Linked DNA regions of Caenorhabditis elegans. The protein of the gene in region 4 purifies or fractionates together with the protein of the main gene of each other region. This does not show direct contact. Each region holds a gene or a part of one and is shown on either strand. Other genes may lie near its edges.

Region 1 (6,144 bases), on a different chromosome or scaffold from region 4:
AACCGTTTCTATAATGATTGCTGGTCTATGCAAGTTTTCTGATCATTCTAGTTTGGAAAGAGCTAGAGAATTGTACAAGGAGCATCGAGCTGCAAAAGGAAAAGTTTACCGAGAAGCGTTCAATGGATTAATTGGCGCTTCAAGCTACAGTGTCGGGAAGAAATTGGTAGCTGAAATGATTTCCCTCAGAATGACACCCGATATTTTCACGTTCAATGCATTACTGTCGTCTGCTGCAAAAGCTGGAAAGTTTGAAGATCGTGTGAAGGCGTTCACTGAAATTATTGGAGAAATGAAAGAGATTGGAGTTGAACCAGCACTGTCATCTTTTCATTTAATTATCAAAAACATCATAGATTTTAAATTATTGGATAATGAAAAACGAGAGAGTGACGAGCAAAAGAAGACCTATAATCACCAGCTCACCGTGGCTATATCTTGGCTCAATGAAATTCAGAATAGCCTTACTGGAAAAACTCTCAAGCCGATTACATCCACTTGTAATCTTTTCTTCGTCGAAGCAATGGGAATCCATTACAGAGCTGCAAATGAGAACCTCGCAGAAAATCTTGTTTCAATTTATGAATCCAAAGCAAACGAAGTAAAGATGCCAGCATTCACAATTGAATCAATGTTCTATAATAGACAATTACAATTGGCTGTGGAACAAAGTGCTTCACTGAACAGAATTTATGATTTGTACACCACCATGGTACCACGACTTGTTGGAGTCAACAATTATCTGTCATCACTAGTTTTTCGAAAACTCGCTGCATCCTCCGATCGTCATTGGCCACTGTTACGGAGAGTAATCATCGACGGTATTGCAGCTGGACAGATGAATGGAGTTATTGGAGAAGAAATGCGCAAACAGTTGTGTAATGTACAACTACATGTAAGTTTTATTTCCAAATATCTTGTGTTTTTTACAAGTTTTTTTCAGACATTGGGAACTAGTGAACGGGAGCAATTCACATCTCTTGTCCAAAAATTGGTTGCAGTTTGGGTTGAGTTCAGCCAATTCACAGAAGAGAGAATGAGAAGGCTCCAAAGGAAACTGTCGCCTAGCCAGGTTTTAATATTATTTTTCAAACCATAAGTCGTATATTTCTCAAATTTTGCAGATCTCAGAATGTGCTTTGCTCTTGACCAGAATCGGAGAACAGCAGAAAGCTTACGAACTGTTAGATCTACTGCTTGATGAAACTGCAAGCAGTGGGGACGAAGCGACTGTTTATCCACGTGGACATGCTAGGCCATGGGCAATGGCAGAATTGTTCGAAGATGCTCTTAGAAAACGTGATACATATGCTGCAGCGACTTGCCTGCAAATTATGTCGTTGACCGCCAACCGTGCAAAACTTGAGCCTCTCGCCAATCGCATTTTCGAGAAATGTAATGTGAATCAAGAGCAAGTTCGAATTATTCAAGGATTCATTCGTCTTCGCCCACAATAATTTTATTTCGTTTAGCCTAGGATAGTTGTAAAGTTATTTTGTTTTTGTTTTGTTTTGCTTTCAAAATGTCTCCCATAATAAAACTTATTTAAAAATTTGTTCAACATGTTTTTTTTTCAAAGGTCGTTCAATTTGAAATTAAAGGCGCATCGAGTTTTCATCTGAGTGGGTCTCGCAACGCTGTCTAAGGTATACGGTAGCTATTCGCACTACTTCAAAAAATGTTACCTACTGTCCCAAAATATTCATTTCCGTGCACGATTTTTCAGTATTTCTTGTTGAAATCTTCATATTTTTCAAGTATCTAACAAAAACGTGTTTCAATAGTTCTTTTTTCAAGTTATAAGTTATAAGATTTAGAGAATGCATGTATCCCGAAAAGTTGCATAAACTTATTCAATTTTTTTCCAACACGTTATTCGTAAATTTTAAGATATTGTTCATAATGCAATCGTTCTCCGATTTCAGGTAGTATTCACTAACAACATTCACAATGCCTGCTACACCGGTTCCACCGGTAACAATGCCACCAGTGCCACCAGTTGGTTTTCCACCGGTCACCGCTCCGCCAGGACTTCATCCACCACCACCAGTCCCACCGGTTCCGGTTCCGACTCTTCCTGTCACCTCGGAACACAAAACTGCTCACGATGCGTGTATTAAGCGACTCGAACAGCTTGAGGTGAGATCGGTTCTCGTTATTGCTTAGAATAAATATGATATTTTAGATTCCGCCGGATCCGAAGATCTATCCTTCTCCAACCGAACCTGGAACTTTCGGTAGCGTGACTGAAGTCCTGACAAATGTGTTTGGAGTCGAAGTACATAAAACTTCCAACTTTTATCAATACAGTGTGCACATCACTGCTGAACTTTCATCGAAGAAAGAAGTAACTTTCACTAAAAAAGGAAAAGAAGAGTAAGATATTGATGATCGAATTCAAATTTCCTATGCATTCAATTTCAGCTTCATTGTTCATGACCGCCATGAGAAGTGCAGTGCTATTCTGTTCCACGCATTGAACCGCTTTGAGGACTTTTTCAAGTCGTCTGAGAACTGCATCATCTACGATGGACAGAGCATTCTCTTCACCAGCATGAATCTTTTTGAAGGAATTCCAACTGGAAAAATTAAGGTATCGAGATTTTATTTGTACTTTCGATGCATTCCTAATTTCAGACAAAAGTGTTTCAAATTAACGGTGCGGACACCAACTTGAAAGACCTAATGGTGCTGCCGTGTATCAAACTGGAAGTTTTTCCTACCAAGAACCCAGTCGTGAATTTCTCCCTGGAAGATATTGGAAGACGTACATCGGATTCTAACATCGAGTCTGTCAATATGGCTTATAAGCAGATTCTCGATCTCGCTATGAGTCAGTACGCAATTCGCGAAACCTCCAAATGTGTAGTGTTCGAGCACGGAAAGATGTTTTTCATTAATCCATTGCAAGAAGGGTACGCTCCATGCGACATTGTGGAAGTTGGAGATGGGAAACAAATGAAACCGGGTCTCAAGAAAACCCTCCAATTCATTGAGGGTCCATACGGACGTAACCAGAATAACCCATCGATTGTCATTGACGGTTAGTTTTTAGCTCAAAATAGACAAGTATATTTCAATCTTCAGGAATGAAGGTGGCATTCCATATGGAGCAACTCGTTTTCCAAAAATTGTCATCGATCACATCCAATCTGGCTAACGGAATCACTGGATCCGAAAGAGAACGATGTGCAGCTGTCATCAAAGGACTTGACTGTCATTCAAACTATAGAGGACGCACACGTCATCACAAAATTGAAAGCATTCATCACGAAGGAGCCGCAACTGCCAGATTCGAGCTCGAAGGTGGTGGTACTTGTACCGTTGCCACCTACTTCAAGGATAAATATAAGATTCAACTTCGCTATCCGAACGCCAATCTCATCGTTTGTAAGGAAAGAGGAGCTCTCAACTTCTATCCCATGGAGTTGATTACTATCAGTCCAAATCAACGTGTTAGAATCACTCAGCAAACAAGTTCTCAAAGTCAACGAACCACAAAAGAAAGTGCAGTGTTGCCAGACATTCGCCAACGTTTGATCATGACGGGAAAGATTGCAGCGAAGATCACAGCTGAAAACGAGGTGCTCGGTAAAATGGGAGTGACTGTTTGCGATGAGCCTCTTGTGGTGAAAGGGCGAAACCTCCCGGCCATTAGGTTGGCTTCATTTGAAACGGGTGAACATCTCATCAATCCAAGAGATTGCAAATGGCGCCCACAACGCTACAACCGTTCAGCTGTGGCTCCGAAAGTATGGGCGTTGTACGGCGTGGGGTCGCCGGGATCACAAATGAATCGCGACGTTATGAGGTTAGTCTTACTCTACTTAAAATTGATTGGTTTTTTCTGATTTTTCAGACGTTTTTGTGACGAGTTCATGAATATGAGTCGTTCGAAAGGAATTCTGTTTCCGCCACCTGGAGACGTCAATCTTCTCACCCCTGATGCTATCGAAAATCGTTTGCGTGAGGCTGCGAATGCTGGATGCACTTTTGTTCTGTGCATCACTGAAGACAATATCACTTGCTTGCATCGTATGTCATAATTGGCTCTTCTCAATAAGTTTTGTTTGTTACAGAAAAATACAAGTTCATCGAGCATCATACTCAGATGATTGTTCAGGATATGAAGTTGTCCAAGGCTTTGAGCGTCGTCAACGCATCAAAGAAACTAACATTGGAGAACGTTATTAACAAGACCAACGTGAAACTAGGAGGGTCCAACTACGTTTACCTCGATACGAAGAAGTATATTATTACGCGTTCAATTGTTTATCCATGTACAAAATTTCAGCTTCCTTCAAGAGCATCTGATCATCGGCGTTGGTATCTCCAGCCCACCACCTGGGACCAAGTACATCATGGAAAGCAGAGGAATTCTCAATCCGACTATTGTGGGTTTCGCATACAATGGAAATGGGAAGCAGGAGTTTAGTGGAGATTTCGTATTGAACGCTGCTGGTCAAGAAGTGCGTTTTTCAGTCATACTATTTTATTCATGTTGAGCTTTCAGACCATTGCACCAATTGAGGATATCGTCTCCTATTCAATCAAAGGATATAAGAAGTTCCACGATGGCAAAGCGCCAAAGCGCATCACAATCTACCGAAGTGGCTCCAGCGAAGGAAATCACGGACCAATCATCTCCTATGAAGTTCCTCTTGCTCGTGTTGCCATGAGAAACTTTTCGCCGGACACTCAATTGCTTTATATCGTGGTCTCGAAGGAGCACACCTATAGATTCTTCAAGAAAGAGGTGAGTGGGCAAGAAGTCTTGACGTTTAATGTTGATTATTATTTCAGTCTGGTGGATCTTCCAGCGGTGGATCTAACAGCGCTGGCGCAAGCAATTCTGGCACATTGACTTCGGCACCGCCAAAACCATGGGAGCTCAATATTGGTCCAGGACTTACCGTTGATTATGGTGTTACCAACCCAGCATGCAAGCAGTTCTTCTTGAACTCGCACATGACTCTTCAGGGATCGGCAAAGACCCCGCTCTATACTGTTCTTGCTGATGATCGTAATATTGGTATGTCGGCATTGGAAGAATTCACCTTCAATCTGTGTCACCTCCATCAAATTGTCGGACTTCCCACGTCGATTCCAACGCCACTGTATGTTGCAAATGAATACGCGAAGAGAGGGCGTAATTTGTGGAATGAAGCCATGTGAGTTTTCAGATTTTTTCGATTCAAGCATTTATGACTATGCCTTTTCAGCAATGCTAATGAAATTCCCGAGGTTACTGGACCAGAATCAGCTCGTTTGAAGAAAATGACCGATGGCATCAGCTATATGGGCTCCGGCGACATGATCGACCGCCGTGTCAATGCTTAAGCACTCACCCGAAGATCAAGTTGTACCATTTTTTAATCCAACTCATCTTTTGTATCAATTTTTTTATTTGTATCCCACTATGTCTTTAATGCTATATCTTATCTAAGTGGTACATAATTGTTCAATAATTGTTTTATTCCCCCCGCCCTCTGTTCCCCATTGTTCTGGCTCATCCTACGTGCAGCTTGTCAATCTTCGGCAATGATTACAAGTCGTTCATAGGTTATAGCCATTGTTGTTTTGTTAAGTTGAGCATGTAATGCTTTTGTTATGGTCTCCCGGAGACAATAAAATTTTAAAATCCAAACTGCATCTAACAATTGGAATCATTTATTCACTGGAAAACTTCATTCACTTTTCGCTTTCGATGATCCGACCATCTCGGACTGACACTCAGACGAATCGACTTCTTTAGCTTGGGTTTTTTGTTTCTCCTTGCTCAATAAGACCTTTATTTGGATAAAGATGTCACCATCAGCAGCGAATTCGGTTACTTTTGCCAACGGAAGAAAGTTCTGAAGTACACAGCCTCCTCACGTGGAAATGACCCAACAAGGGGGCTTGCGCGTTTCTCGTGAGCGTTGGAAAATTTTACCACTGAAAAATGATTTCCTTCGGTTTTTGTGGGTTTAAAATCGATTTCATATTTTGAAATTAGGTATCAATTGTAAAGCTAATTGGGGGAAAGGAGGAGAAAAAAAGATTTTTGATTTTGGTTCAAAAATAAAAGCGCTGATATAAAAAGTAAAAACAACTAAAAATTGAGTTTTTCTCATATTTTGTATATTTATCATCATTTTTCTA
Region 2 (5,765 bases), on a different chromosome or scaffold from region 4:
ACGGGGGAAAATGAAATTAGCAGTTACACCACTTACTATTAGATACGCATTGTATGTAACGCAAAAACAAGAATGACAGGGTGGGATACAAATAAAAAATCATGGTATGCTTCTCACAAACTAGAAGTTGGAATTGAAAATACTACAATTTGATTGAATTATTAGTGCTGAAGCATTGACACGACGGTCGATCAGGAAGCCGGATTCCTTGTATTTGATGCTATCGGTAATCTGCTTCATACGAGCTGCCTCTGGTCCAGAAACTTCGGGAATTGCATCCGCAATGCTGCAAAAATATTTTAATATCAACTGTTGTCATTTTCTTAAACTCACATGGCTTCATTCCACAAATTACGACCACTCTTCGCGTACTCATTTGCAACATACATTGGTGTTGGAAAAAAAAGAAGTTGGAAGTCTGACAATTTGGTGAAGGTGGCACAATGGAAGTGAAATACACGTTCGAGCAATTCGTCATTTTCCGAGATTAAAAAAAAAAGGATTTGAAGAGGTAGATTTTCCTTGAATAAAAAAATCGTTATTGTCGATAACAGGAGAACTGACAAGTTTCAGTTCAAGGGAATTGATTCTAAAATAGAAAAAAAATGTTAAATTTAATCTCGTGCAGAAACTACTTACAAATTTCGAAGCTTCTTGTTCTCGCGTTCAGTATCTTGAAGCTTCTTTCGATTATTTTCCTCAAAATTGGCTAGCTTCGACAGTTGGCATGTGATTTCCTGTGTCCTTTTCTCTGTTTTCGCCGTTTGATCTTTTAGCATCACCGACTGAAATAAAACTTTTTCTTCTGCATGAAACAAGTGCAAAAAATTACCTTTTATTTTTCGTTTTCCTAATAAATTGAATTCTGAATACTTTAAAAACCAATAATTCTGGTGAGACGTTTGAGAATATCTGTACTTTTTACAGTCACGTCGCGAATCGGGATGTACAGCGCTGAACATTTTCCGCACATTTTCGGCAGATTTCCATCTATTTTAAGAGTTTTCGTAGGGACCTTACACAAATAACAAAATCCAGCAGTCTGCGTTGTTCGACAAGATGTGAGAGCAGGTGGTGATGTAAAATTGCCTTCTTGCTGGCGGGAATCCACATAGGTTGCAAACGATTAACTTCATTGCGATCTAAGCTACAAGCCTGAATTAGATGAGTATCATTCAAAATAAAATTAACAACTAAGTCACTTTTTAAAACATGGAAAGCACACAATACTTGTAAAAAGGAGAAAAATAAGGCTGTACAGCAAAAATAAATTCAAGGAGCGTTCGTTTTAACACTGAGTGGGTCTCGCAGCGATCTCCATTCTTATGTACTGTATGCGTTGTCATTTAAATTTTTTAGGACGAAGAAATTGTTTTTTGTATTCTTTTCCGGTTTGTGACAGTTTTCAATAATTTTTGTTAATTTTCAAGATTATTTTTATATTTTAATAATAATCTAGTTACAAAATCTTAAGAAACTTGCTCGTTGAATCTTAAAAATGTAAAAGTGATCTACATTTGATCTAGCCGCCAATTATCGGATTCTGTATTCTTGCGTCATTAATAATGATGATTTTGTACAAATCTAGTCGTTATTTGTTTTTATGCCGCCTCTGAAACACCGAAAAATCTCGAATCATTATTCTTTTTCGTCGGCAATACGAAAATTCCGTAGTTTGCCCTTTCTTCATAACGTACCATTTTCGTTCTAGATTGATCTCTTGAAGAAAACTGATTTATTTGTTTAAACTATTGTTAAATATCTCACAAATTCATAATTTTCTATAGATGTTCTCCAATCTCGCTTATTCGGTGCAGAATATTATTTATATAAGCTTTTTTCAGAACTAATATTGCAATAGTAATAAGATGTCTCCTCATCCACCACAACCGCATCCACCGATGCCTCCAATGCCACCAGTCACTGCTCCACCAGGAGCTATGACTCCAATGCCTCCAGTTCCAGCCGATGCTCAAAAGCTTCACCAAAGCACTGGCAACGACGCATGCATCAAGCGTTTACAACAGTTAAACGTATGTTTATCAGCATTCAAAGATCTTTCTAATGCCATATTTGCAGGTTGAGGATGGTGCGAAAATGTACATGAAGCCAACCGAACCTGGAAAAATGGGCAGACCAGTGGACATCCAAACCAATGTCTTCGGAATTGAAGTCACAAAGGAAACCACAGTTCATCGTTTTATGGTTCACGCAAAGGCCGATTTGACTTCAACAAAGGAAGTGACTTTCACTAAAAAAGGAAAGGAGGACTTCGTCGTTCAGGATCGTCGCGATAAGTGTTGCAACATCTTTTTCCTTGCGGTTGAGAAGAACCCGGAATTCTTCAAAATGAAGGATGGGAATCAGATTGTATATGACGGTCAATCAACTCTCTACACGACGGTCAACTTGTTCTCAGAACTGGATGCCAACGGTACGAAGTCCAAAGTCTTCCAAATCAACGGAGCTGATACCGGCAATGACGACCTTAAGACCCTGCCTTGCATTTCTCTCGAGATTTATGCCCCAAGGGACAACTCTATCACGCTCTCTTCTGAAAATCTGGGCAAGCGTACTGCGGATCAAAACATTGAAGTAAACAATCGAGAATACACTCAATTCTTGGAACTTGCTCTGAATCAACATTGCGTGAGAGAAACGTAAGTGAATTTCGAAAATTATTAAAAGCATCGCTTCATTTTAGAAATCGTTTCGGATGCTTCGAGCACGGAAAAGTATATTTCCTCAACGCCACCGAAGAAGGATTCGATCAACGAGACTGTGTCGACGTAGGAGACGGAAAACAACTTTATCCTGGCCTCAAGAAGACGATTCAATTCATCGAGGGTCCTTATGGTCGCGGACAGAACAATCCATCTCTCGTGATTGATGGTATGAAAGCTGCTTTCCACAAAGAGCAAACTGTGATCCAAAAACTGTTCGACATCACGGGACAAGATCCTTCAAATGGACTCAATAATATGACCCGTGAGAAGGCTGCGGCAGTGATTAAAGGACTTGATTGCTATTCGACTTATACCAACAGAAAGCGCCATCTAAGAATCGAAGGTATCTTTCACGAAAGTGCCACAAAGACCAGATTTGAGTTGCCCGATGGAAAAACTTGTTCAATCGCCGAGTACTATGCGGACAAATACAAGATCAGTCTACAGTATCCGAACGCCAATTTGGTGGTTTGTAAGGATCGAGGCAACAACAATTACTTCCCGGCTGAACTGATGACTGTGTCCAGAAATCAACGTGTCACCATTCCTCAGCAAACGGGAAATCAATCTCAAAAGACAACGAAGGAGTGCGCGGTTCTTCCGGATGTCCGTCAGCGAATGATCATCACTGGTAAAAATGCTGTCAACATTACACTCGAAAACGAGTTGCTCGTCGCTCTTGGAATCAAGGTTTACTCGGAGCCTCTGATGGTTAGTTTGTGTAAATTGTAAAAAAATATATTTGTTTTCTTTTTCCAGGTCCAAGCACGTGAGCTTGATGGAAAAGAACTTGTATACCAGAGATCGGTAATGTCGGATATGGGAAAATGGCGTGCGCCTCCAGGATGGTTTGTGAAGCCTGCGACTGTTCCTGATTTGTGGGCTGCTTACGCTGTTGGAAATCCAGGTTGCAGATTCTCCATTGGAGATGTCAAGTAAGACAAATAGAAATTTACATGAATCAATTCAATTCTTAAGCCAACTCGTCGGAATGTTCATTGATTCTTGCAAGAAGAAAGGCATGGTGATCAAGCCACCATGTGAAACAGGACTTTACAGTACGGAAAAAATTATGACTCAGCTGGAAAAAGTGGCTGCGAGTAAGTGCAAGTATGTCTTGATGATCACTGATGACGCAATCGTTCACCTCCACAGTAAGTTTTCCTTAAGTTTTCATGGTTCATTGAAAATTTCAGAGCAGTACAAAGCCTTGGAACAGAGAACAATGATGATCGTCCAGGATATGAAAATTTCCAAAGCCAATGCCGTTGTCAAAGATGGGAAGAGATTGACGTTGGAGAACATCATCAACAAAACTAACGTGAAGTTAGGTGGTCTTAACTACACTGTTTCGGATGCAAAGAAGAGCATGACCGACGAACAATTGATCATCGGAGTTGGCGTTTCCGCACCACCGGCTGGAACGAAGTACATGATGGATAACAAGGGACATCTTAATCCACAAATCATTGGCTTCGCTTCAAATGCTGTTGCAAATCACGAGTTTGTCGGCGATTTCGTTTTGGCTCCCTCCGGACAGGACGTAAATAATTAATGTGTTCGAGTTAACAACATGGTAATTTTTACAGACAATGGCATCAATTGAAGACGTGTTGCAAAATTCAATCGATTTGTTCGAAAAGAACCGCAAAGCGTTGCCAAAAAGAATCATCATTTATAGAAGTGGTGCATCGGAGGGTTCTCACGCTTCTATTCTGGCTTATGAAATCCCATTAGCCCGAGCTATTATCCATGGTTACTCGAAAGAAATCAAATTGATTTTCATCGTCGTCACTAAGGAGCACAGTTACCGATTCTTCCGTGATCAGGTAAATTTGTTTTATTATTCTCTTTACGCTAACTTTTCAGCTTCGTTCGGGCGGCAAAGCCACTGAAATGAATATTCCTCCGGGCATTGTCTTGGATAACGCTGTCACGAATCCGGCATGTAAGCAGTTCTTCCTGAACGGTCACACGACTCTTCAAGGAACAGCAAAGACACCATTGTACACTGTTCTTGCTGACGACTGCAAAGCTCCAATGGACCGCCTGGAGGAGCTGACCTTCACTTTGTGTCATCATCACCAAATTGTTTCCCTGAGCACGTCGATTCCCACTCCACTTTATGTGGCAAATGAGTATGCAAAGCGTGGAAGAGATCTCTGGGGTGAACTAACGTAGGTTTTTTTTGTTTAAAACAAAAATTTATTTATATTTTGCAGGACTAAAGGACCAATTGAAGCAAAGGAGTCGCAAGGCGAGCGCCTCAAGGAACTTACAAAGGAAATCGGCTACAAACAAACCGATCTCAATCAGAAGCGCGTCAATGCATAGATTTGGAGCTATGCCACATACACTTGATGTTTTACCTAGGATAATAATTTTACGGTCACCTAGGATAATAATTTTACGGTTTTTCCGCTAGTTTTATTGTAATTTTTTAGTCAAATGTTTTATATTTTTGTAATGTGGTTCTGTGTGACCCGTAGTAATTAAACTCGGTATGATAAAAGTTTTAGGCTGATAATATTTTTCAAAGATTTGCTTTGTGCGTAAAAGTTCGAGGCGATGTTTTTTGAGGATCTTCAAGTGAAAACGAAGATTGTCTGATAATGAGGGGGAATTTTGTTCGATTTTTTTTTGAAATTGGAACATTAAACATTTCTAGAGCTGCTTCCAAGTCAATTGACTAGTCGACTAAATATTACTTTTTGGTTGTAATCTCAATATTGAACAAACAATTTATTCACGTTTTTAACTCAAAATGGTAATTCGAAAGTTAATCAGAACAAGAAAAGTAATAAATAAAAAAGCAATTTCATTCAAGCCTTTCAACTATCCTTGGTTGAATTTTCTGTTCCCTTTTCTCGTGAGTTGAAAAAACGAATGGTGAATTCGCAAGAAGGGGAATAAATTTCCCAGATCCGGGAACTGTTTGAAGTTTTCCGTGAGCCCATACAATTCGCCCTCTGTAATAGATTGTGGTTAATGTTGTGCCATTGAGAGAATATGTCTGAATACAAGAATCAAACATTTTTA
Region 3 (4,810 bases), on a different chromosome or scaffold from region 4:
AAATTCGGAGATCAGATCAATTTGGACGCTGAAGAATAATCTATAAATTCTAATTTCTTATTTTGCTCGATTTTGTATCTTTTCCGTTGAAGCTTTCATATATAAAAATTATCTCAATTTAAAAATTGCTTTTCTCACCTTTTTCACAACGTGTGCTCACTGTTCACTGTTTCCGCGTATTTTGCTGATGAATTTTTTCGACCGATTTTCCTTATCACGAATGGCACCACCCACTTGTGGGTCACACCAGATCCTAAATATCAATATAGTGGACGGGAAGAGGAAGGTTTTTTCGTGTTTGGTGTTCATTTTAGTTTACATGTTTTGTTTCCCATTGCTCTTTATTTATAGAGGAGACGCTCGCCCACGTAATATAATAGCATTTTGGAAAAATCCATTATCTTTCAGACAATCTTATCATGATTTCCACAATAGACTGGCTAGAATGTAGCATTCTAAATATTTGAATTTAACAGAAAATATTCAATTTCTCTTTAAAAAAATACTTGAAAATTAATTATATTCCCAAATTGGCAACATTCTTTCCCGATTGTCTTTCTGTCCATTTAATTTGTCTGCCCTTTCTTTTCTCACCTTTTTTATCCGTTTCTTTCTTTGTCACCTCCGAAGTTTTGTCAGCATTTTCCGTTTTTTTCTCCTCATATTTTGTTTGCACTTTTCACCTTCTAAAAAAATGATCGGCAGAGACACAAATAAATGTGGCCATTCGTGTGCTCCGTTTTCCAAATGAAACCCGATTGGCAGAATTTATGGTTGAAAATGCATAGTTATTTAGGAGTTGCAAAGAACAGTTTTCATTCTTCTTTTTCTTTGTCTTCTTGTTAATTTGGTAAACTGATCAGACGTTAATCAAATTGATAAACTTTCAAGTTCAGTGATTTTTGATTTGTTTTCTGAAAACGAAATTAGTTTTTTCTCTGATAGACTAAGTCTTCGAAGAATTCATCTTCCAGATAAAATCCAAAAAAAATGTGTTCCAGAATATCCTAGTCGGTCAACTAAAAGTCAAGAACCATAGATTAAATCTAGAGTTACAAAGTTTCGTCTCTTCTCCAGAGTCAAGTTACTCGAGTTTTTATGTTTCCTAGAGAAATACATTGTTTCTTTTCATTGTCGATCAATGTCGCCCAGAGAACATTATTTGTCATGGTTACCACTCGCACACACTACACAATTTCATTCAGTCATCATTTTTTGTGACCCGAGAAGATTTCAGTAAATATTTTCATGTTTGTAAAGAGACTGGCGCATCCACTTTTCTCTTACTGTTTCTTTCTTCTCTCGCTGCCCTGTGAAAAAAATGGAAGTGGAGTAAAAAGTGACCGATTTATAGTGTTGTTCCAGTTGTTCCAATTCATTTATATTGTAGACTGCGGTTCGCTACTAGGTATATGATTCGAAAGGAAAAATTACATTTTTTAGTGCTAGAAATTAACATTATTCCATTAAATGTAACTAGCTGAAAGTAAGCAGTTTATTACTCTGCCAGTAAAAAAGAATTGCGCAGAATCATTATGAAGTACATCAATATATCAATTAACGTATTTCTTTTTGATTTTTCGTTGTATAAATGAAACAATAATCTCACTTTTAAATAACATTTATGTGTATCTAGATGGTTTACTTTGAAACTTGTAGTTTCTACTATTTACCTCTCAACACGAGTAATTTTTGTGAATCAATGTTCGTCATTCTCACTTCAAAATCTAGTTTATAAATTTACAGAAATGGCATGCAAACGTCATTCAGTGTCCGATCCCATTTCGAAGGATCTCGTCGAGTGTCTTCGTGAATCAATGCAAAGAGATCTCAAATTTGAGACTCCGTACGTTTTCGTGATATTTGGAGCATCGGTATGACATCTATTCCATATATATCGATTATTAATTATTTAACATTTTTTCAGGGAGATCTCGCAAAAAAGAAAATATACCCAACACTGTGGTGGTTGTTCCGTGACAACCTTTTGCCAGTCAACATCAAATTTATTGGATATGCCCGTTCCGATCTGACAGTTTTCAAGCTTCGTGAATCTTTTGAGAAAAACTGTAAAGTTCGAGAAAATGAGAAATGTGCTTTTGATGACTTCATCAAGAAGTGCTCATACGTTCAGGTAAATCTACATCTGCTAATAAATAGGCGTGAAACTTTGTTCCAAAAATACAGTGCTCGGTCTCGACACCACAAATTTGTGTTAAATGCGAAAACGTATCACCTTTAAACAGTACTGTAGCTTCAAGCTTTTGTCGATTTCAGATTTTAAAAAAATTGTTTTAAAACTGAAAAAAAATAATTGCAACACATACATTTTTTTTACAAATCAGGTAGGAAAACTACGAAAACCAACAAAAACTTGAAACTACAGTACTCTTTAAAGGCGCGCACTTTTTTGCATTCAACAAAAATTGTGGGGTCGAGACCGGTTACCGTATTTTTCGCACAAAATCTTGTTACTGGGTAATAAAAATTTGAATCGAAGCTTTTTTCTAGAAACTTTGAACATAAAAAGCACCATTGACATTTTTTCAGGGCCAATACGACACTTCTGAAGGATTCCAACGCCTTCAATCTTCAATTGATGATTTCCAAAAAGAAAGCAATAATCGTAGGTTTAGAATTAAATTTCACTCAATCTAAGCAAATTTATAGAAGCCGTCAATCGTCTCTACTACCTCGCTCTTCCTCCATCAGTTTTCAACGTGGTTTCTACGGAATTAAAGAAGAATTGTATGGATCATGGTGATTCATGGACACGTGTTATCATAGAAAAACCATTTGGACATGATTTGAAATCATCTTGTGAACTTTCAACTCATTTGGCGAAACTTTTTAAAGAAGATCAAATCTACCGTATTGATCATTATCTCGGAAAAGAAATGGTTCAGAATTTGATGGTTATGCGGTAAGAATGTTTTTTCAAAGTATTTGAAGAGATTTATAATTTTATTTTGAACTTTCAGATTTGGAAACCGAATTCTCGCTCCATCTTGGAACCGCGATCACATTGCATCAGTTATGATCTCATTTAAAGAAGATTTTGGAACTGGTGGCCGTGCTGGATATTTTGATACAGCTGGAATTATCCGTGATGTTATGCAGAATCATTTGATGCAAATTCTAACTTTAGTCGCCATGGAGAAACCAGCAAGTTTGAATGCTGAAGATATTCGTGATGAAAAGGTCAAAGTGTTGAAAGCTGCTAAAGTTGTAGAATTAAAGGATGTAGTAGTTGGACAATACATTGCCAGTCCTGAATTTGATCGTGAGTTTTTCAAAAATTACAATTTTATAAAAGTTTTGATTTTTAAATACATTAATTTTAGACCCAGAAGCATCACAAGGATACAAAGATGACAAATCAGTTCCAGCCGATTCGACTACTCCAACGTATGCTCTTGCTGTTGTTCACATCAATAATGAACGTTGGGAGGGTGTTCCATTCTTCTTGCGTTGTGGAAAAGGTAGGGAATATACAAAAAAAAACCGAATTTTTAAATTTCAATATTATTGCAGCTCTCAACGAGAAGAAAGCAGAAGTTCGTATACAATTCAAAGAAGTCAGTGGAGATATCTATCCGTCTGGTGAATTAAAGCGATCCGAATTAGTGATGAGAGTGCAACCAAATGAGGCAGTTTACATGAAACTGATGACCAAGAAACCTGGAATGGGATTCGGTGTTGAAGAAACTGAACTTGATTTGACTTATAATAATAGGTTAGTTTTTGAAATTTCTCTTCAAAAAAAATTTCATTGTGATAATTTCAGATTCAAAGAAGTCCGTCTTCCTGATGCTTATGAACGCCTATTTCTCGAAGTATTCATGGGATCTCAAATTAATTTCGTTCGAACTGATGAGCTTGAATACGCTTGGCGTATTTTGACGCCAGTTCTCGAAGAGCTTAAAAAGAAGAAAGTTCAACCGGTTCAATATAAATTTGGAAGGTTGGTTGTGTTTCTTTTTTTTTAAAATTAAATACAGTAATCCAATTTTTCAGTCGTGGTCCAACTGAAGGTGACGAATTGATGAAAAAGTACGGTTTCATCTTCACTGGAACATACAAATGGGTTGCTCCAAAGCTATAAATGATACCAGATCTTCCTCTATTCATTCTCTTTCAAATGTTTGTAGAAATAACTTCAAAAATTCAGCAGCTACTAGTTCATATGTTTTCCTGTGTTCCACATCAATATTATTCCTGCTCTTTTTTCATTTGTTAATGTTCTATTGAATGAATGAAAATAAATACGTTTTCAGTTAAAAGAAGTGTAGAACGATAAGATAAGCCAGTAAAAAGGCTTATTTTAAATAATCTGTATTCAAAAAATAATCATTTTTTCGACAAGCCGGTTACGGTGCGCCAGTCCGCAAACACTCTGCATACACTCTACTTCTACAGTAGTGGACGTGCGACGCGTGTTGCGTCGCGCATCATCATATTGTTCAATTCTTGTTCAAGTTCAATCATATTTTCTTCGGATTTCTATCATTTTCCATCGGATTTCCCATCATTTTTGCACAAATGTTTTAAAGTATCAATATCTTTGATTTAAAAAAAAACGTCTTTCTTGTTTTACGTCTTTTTCTTGCTAGCTGCACATCGTATTACTCATTCTTTTTTTCAGCCATGGTTGCTGCTTCCGCTACCCGGAACATGCTCCAATCATATGGAAAACGTGGAATTTACGTTTCACTTGCTGTCGCTGTCGTCTCGACTGCCGCATTCAACGCATTTTACGTTTGGCCACGTCACAACAAATATGAAGAGTTTTTCGCGTCAGTGTGATCCT
Region 4 (3,977 bases):
AACTATTCACATCAGAATTTTATTTCAAATTATAATCTCAACACAGAAAATCTAATTTGAAAATATTTACAGGTCCACATTTGGTGCACATTCAAAAACTCAGTTAGAATTGTTATAGCCATCATAACATTTTCAATTATTCTGAACTTCCCTAAATTCTTTGAATACCAAATTGGCTATTCGGATGCATTGGGATACTGGCCAAAACGTGGAATTTTGGATGCAGAAGAGCACTGGTGGTACTACATTTCATATTTTATCATCATTTCTGTCATTTTTGACTACCTTCTGCCATTTGTTATAATGTTCATTGCAAACATGAAAGTCATCAATGAACTGAGAAAATCAAGGAAGGAGAGAGCACTTTTGACGACTTCGGTAAATATTTTACACGTTTGTATTCTATTATTATTATATTTCCAGCTTCAAAAAGAGCAAAATACAACTGTGATGTTGTTGGTTGTGACTATTCTCTTTGGATTCTGTCACTTTTTCAGTATGGCTCTCAAATTGTTCGAGAGCATTTTTAAAGATTTTCTCAATCGACACGTACGTTTTTAAAAGATTTAAATAAAATAATCTGAACATGTCATTTCAGAATGAATATTTCGAAGTGATGATTGAAGTATCTAATATTCTCATCGTCATTCATATTGGCACGACATTCTTCATATATTACTTTTTCTCGGCTAGATTCAGGAATATTTTGTGCTATTTGTTCAAGTAAATTTTAAAATCAAAATCTTATTCTTTCAATTAAATATTATTTTAGAAAACGAAGCAACCTTCCGGATAATAGCCTCACAGACTTGAACAAACGGAAGCTTCTTCAAAAATCCGATTCAATATGTACTTCACTGGCAAAAACATCACCAAAAACATCAATGGCATAATAATCTGAAAATAGGATATATAGTAGTCTCCCAATCTCTTGATCTTTTGTTTCTGATATTTCTTTTTTACTTCCTTGGATCTTTTTGTTCCTGCTTGCCATCCTCTTCGGCGTCATAATAATCATTCCGAAAGTTGTTTTCCTATATCTTACGAACGGTTCAATGAAATAAAATGTTGTGAATTTTATTTATGATATGCTAAAAATTAGACGATATATATGGAAACAAACTGTCTGGTTAAGGAAAAGTATGAATATATAATTTTAGCTTTTGAGATAGTGATCTCGGTACAAAAATCAAAAGTTAAAGGTCTAAAGTTCAAACAATCATGCAACTTTCCAAATATACTAACAGAAGCCACATTCTTGGAAACCTCCAGAAAGTGCGAAGCATCCTGCACGTTTTTAATGCATAGTTTAAGGAAAATATTGAAAATGAAGAAGTAAAAACCAAAAGATGGAAAAATTATTTATGAGAATAAAAGAAGGTAATCATGGGAAATTTAGAATCTCAAAAGTTTGTTCCTCGAATGCTTTTGATTACTTCGGAGCAAATGAAAAGAAAAGATGCAATAAATGAAACCAAAAAAATAGGACTTGTGATCTTTAGGAACTAGAATTAAAAAAATAACCAAATGTTAAATATAGATTGGTTTTGATTTGTTCAAAATATCGTAACATGCAATTGTGAATTTTAAAGTTCATCTACTATTTTGAGATAGATGAAATAAAAATTTTAACGGAAAACGATATTTACCGGGAATTATACAAACTGTACTAAATTAACGTGATGAGATTTGCGTTTTTAGGAGGAAGCGGTGGGTGATAAAAATATAATATGCTATGAAAAAAACGTTTATTGTACAGAAATAAATGAAATTTCATTTTTGAATGGGTGAACAGTTGTTTTCATTTTCTTGTAAATTACAAAATAAAATTTTTCTATCATTTGATTCCGCATTTTGTAGTACGCGAATCTTGTAGCTTGTGTATTTTGTGTACGCTATCAGTAAATGATCGAACCTGTGTGTTCAACAGTTGGTCGATATCAGAACTAATATATAAATTGGCTAGACAGAAAAAAAAGGACTCACACTTTCAACTTATTCAGCTAGTTTCGAGATGAAAACTTTATTTGAAATTATTGATAATCCTGATTCATCTAGCCCATTGTGGAAACAATGGAAAAATTTAGTGGACACCGAAGGATGGACATCAGATGACAATTCGGTCACCGAAATGGTTCCATCTCTTCCGACCACGCGAAGTGTTTTTGCAGTTACTAAAACGCGTAAGTTTTCTCTGTTTGATATTAGTTTTAGAAGCACGTGATTTATTATTGCAACAAAAAGATAAGTACTAGTTAACTAGTTTGAAAAAGGACCGATATGTTATCAATTAATACTTTGATTTATTAGAGACATGCAATATGATTTTAGACTAAAATCTTTAACTTTTTATTGTGTTTGTTTTAAACTATTTATTTACAGTTAATTTTGTAAAATGAATAAACTTTGGTGATTTTGGCGGAGAATTTTGTAAAATTGAGAAATTTTTACAGCAGAGCGGAGCATGGTTGGAAGTGTTGTTTGGAACGAGTATGATGATATTTGTTGGTTAGGCTTTTACCTTTTGGCTCCAGAGTATCGTGGAAAGGGCATCGGGTCGATGATCTGGGCTCAAGCAATGTCTCGTATTAGGAAAGACTTGGTTCTTGGCTTAAGAGGAGGTTTCTTTGTATTTTGATTCAACTTTAAAAATAAAATACCGATTTCAGTCGTCAAAATGGCTCCAAAATACAAATCCCGAGATACTCCTGTGGATGGAGCGTTGCTTGAAAATTACCGTTTAACTTCAAATGACTTTTATTCTGCTATGAAAAATTTTCAAGATTTGGGGCTTGTAAGTTGAGAATCGTCGTACTTACAAAAAATGCATATTATATAACAGATTCAAAAACGCGTGAGAGACTTATCTGAAACAGATTGGGAGAAGTTTTTGAAGTACGATAAAAGTGTGAATAGTAGAGATCGTCGAGAGTATTTGGAGATTTATTACAAGAAACTTGATTACACTATTGGAATTGCATTTTTCAATGAATCTGGAGACATAGATGGTGTTATTTCTGCGGTTCCTACTGGTCATCAAGGTACTAGTTTTTTGAATTATTGAGGAATTCAGTTAATGACTTTCAGAAGATAACAATTTCAAAATTTGCCACCTTTACGCAAATTCATCAAACATAGCATTTTACACAATGAAAGTCCTTTCCGAAGTTATGCTCAAAACATATCCTGAAGCTACTCTCATTTTCCATCTTGTTGATACTCCTGAAGGATCCTTCACAGTTCTTCATAAATTTTTCAAAAGCCTCAATTTGAATGCAGGTGTCAGTGGATTAACACTATACAGTGATGTGTATCAGCCCAAAGGAGATCTTGAGAAAGTTTACATTCCATTTAATAGCTCCTGTCATTTTGATTACTGATATTTAGAATATTTCAAATTTGATGATAATCAACTTTTTTTTTCCTTTAAGTTGACATTTATATTCAATAAAATAGCTTTCCAATTTATTACAAACAAGCTGATCTACATGGAGATCTTAATTACAGTCAGAAAAATGAATGTACAAAGTTCCCAGAAACACGAACTAAAAAAGCAAGTATTGTTCTTTTGGCATTGAAGGAGTTGCTGGAGCATTGAGTGGTGTGACAAGTGTAGAAATAAGCTTCGAAAGAGATGATGATTTCTCAACTTGTTGCATATCAAGTACAAGACGATCAGCAACTCGAGAATCTTCCTCACTGAGAACAGTAAGGCCCATCGAATCGAGAAGTTGGTTTACTTCTTCGAGAGTTTTTTTGGAAACCTTCGAATTGGTGAACATCTGAAAGAAAGATCTATGAATCAACGTTTTTGTTTCTTCTGATACCTTTGCAGTCTTTGTCTCATGAATGGGGCTGTACATTTTGACAGACACGTGATTCGAGTGAATTGGAGATTTTTCACCGTTGAGGGAGATGATTGTGGCATTTGGAACAGCTTTAGCGGTATTAATGAAGAGAGAAGATTCATCGGCAGA

The links.
Region 1: the proteins of F21C10.9 (region 4) and ppw-2 fractionate together in Caenorhabditis elegans (co-fractionation; one large-scale study listed by BioGRID). This does not show direct contact.
Region 2: the proteins of F21C10.9 (region 4) and wago-1 fractionate together in Caenorhabditis elegans (co-fractionation; one large-scale study listed by BioGRID). This does not show direct contact.
Region 3: the proteins of F21C10.9 (region 4) and gspd-1 fractionate together in Caenorhabditis elegans (co-fractionation; one large-scale study listed by BioGRID). This does not show direct contact.

Annotation. Positions count from the first base shown.
Region 1 is NC_003279.8:5,158,011-5,164,154, reverse strand, and holds ppw-2 (Piwi domain-containing protein), read left to right. Parts: upstream 1-1,922; 5' UTR 1,923-1,950; coding exon 1,951-2,139; intron 2,140-2,185; coding exon 2,186-2,376; intron 2,377-2,424; coding exon 2,425-2,593; intron 2,594-2,637; coding exon 2,638-3,043; intron 3,044-3,087; coding exon 3,088-3,811; intron 3,812-3,859; coding exon 3,860-4,035; intron 4,036-4,079; coding exon 4,080-4,248; intron 4,249-4,294; coding exon 4,295-4,469; intron 4,470-4,513; coding exon 4,514-4,756; intron 4,757-4,803; coding exon 4,804-5,171; intron 5,172-5,222; coding exon 5,223-5,340; 3' UTR 5,341-5,644; downstream 5,645-6,144. Other genes in the region: let-630 (Small ribosomal subunit protein mS39), read left to right, coding at 1-895, 944-1,072, 1,125-1,457; trf-2 (MATH domain-containing protein), read right to left, coding at 5,688-5,855.
Region 2 is NC_003279.8:7,233,540-7,239,304, forward strand, and holds wago-1 (Argonaute protein wago-1), read left to right. Parts: upstream 1-1,844; 5' UTR 1,845-1,868; coding exon 1,869-2,033; intron 2,034-2,079; coding exon 2,080-2,660; intron 2,661-2,704; coding exon 2,705-3,437; intron 3,438-3,485; coding exon 3,486-3,661; intron 3,662-3,704; coding exon 3,705-3,880; intron 3,881-3,922; coding exon 3,923-4,269; intron 4,270-4,315; coding exon 4,316-4,555; intron 4,556-4,595; coding exon 4,596-4,903; intron 4,904-4,948; coding exon 4,949-5,060; 3' UTR 5,061-5,253; downstream 5,254-5,765. Other genes in the region: R06C7.2 (BEN domain-containing protein), read right to left, coding at 121-286, 334-521, 565-589, 640-962; dhp-1 (Dihydropyrimidinase 1), read right to left, coding at 5,545-5,695. UniProt on the Caenorhabditis elegans protein: Argonaute protein which is involved in the endogenous small interfering RNA (endo-siRNA) pathway. Interacts with secondary 22G-RNAs, which are RNA-dependent RNA polymerase-derived endo-siRNAs, typically 22 nucleotides in length with a 5'guanosine residue.
Region 3 is NC_003282.8:11,315,673-11,320,482, forward strand, and holds gspd-1 (Glucose-6-phosphate 1-dehydrogenase), read left to right. Parts: upstream 1-1,746; 5' UTR 1,747-1,748; coding exon 1,749-1,874; intron 1,875-1,927; coding exon 1,928-2,134; intron 2,135-2,550; coding exon 2,551-2,626; intron 2,627-2,670; coding exon 2,671-2,923; intron 2,924-2,981; coding exon 2,982-3,283; intron 3,284-3,344; coding exon 3,345-3,482; intron 3,483-3,534; coding exon 3,535-3,736; intron 3,737-3,787; coding exon 3,788-3,964; intron 3,965-4,017; coding exon 4,018-4,105; 3' UTR 4,106-4,279; downstream 4,280-4,810. Other genes in the region: pfd-4 (putative prefoldin subunit 4), read left to right, coding at 1-39; B0035.18 (Mitochondrial cytochrome c oxidase subunit VIc/VIIs domain-containing protein), read left to right, coding at 4,648-4,796. UniProt on the Caenorhabditis elegans protein: Cytosolic glucose-6-phosphate dehydrogenase that catalyzes the first and rate-limiting step of the oxidative branch within the pentose phosphate pathway/shunt, an alternative route to glycolysis for the dissimilation of carbohydrates and a major source of reducing power and metabolic intermediates for fatty acid and nucleic acid biosynthetic processes.
Region 4 is NC_003283.11:9,096,697-9,100,673, reverse strand, and holds F21C10.9 (N-acetyltransferase domain-containing protein), read left to right. Parts: upstream 1-1,977; 5' UTR 1,978-2,014; coding exon 2,015-2,183; intron 2,184-2,453; coding exon 2,454-2,621; intron 2,622-2,669; coding exon 2,670-2,794; intron 2,795-2,842; coding exon 2,843-3,041; intron 3,042-3,087; coding exon 3,088-3,380; 3' UTR 3,381-3,473; downstream 3,474-3,977. Other genes in the region: frpr-6 (G-protein coupled receptors family 1 profile domain-containing protein), read left to right, coding at 73-378, 424-549, 599-723, 773-893; F21C10.10 (3-hydroxyacyl-CoA dehydrogenase NAD binding domain-containing protein), read right to left, coding at 3,546-3,782, 3,828-3,977.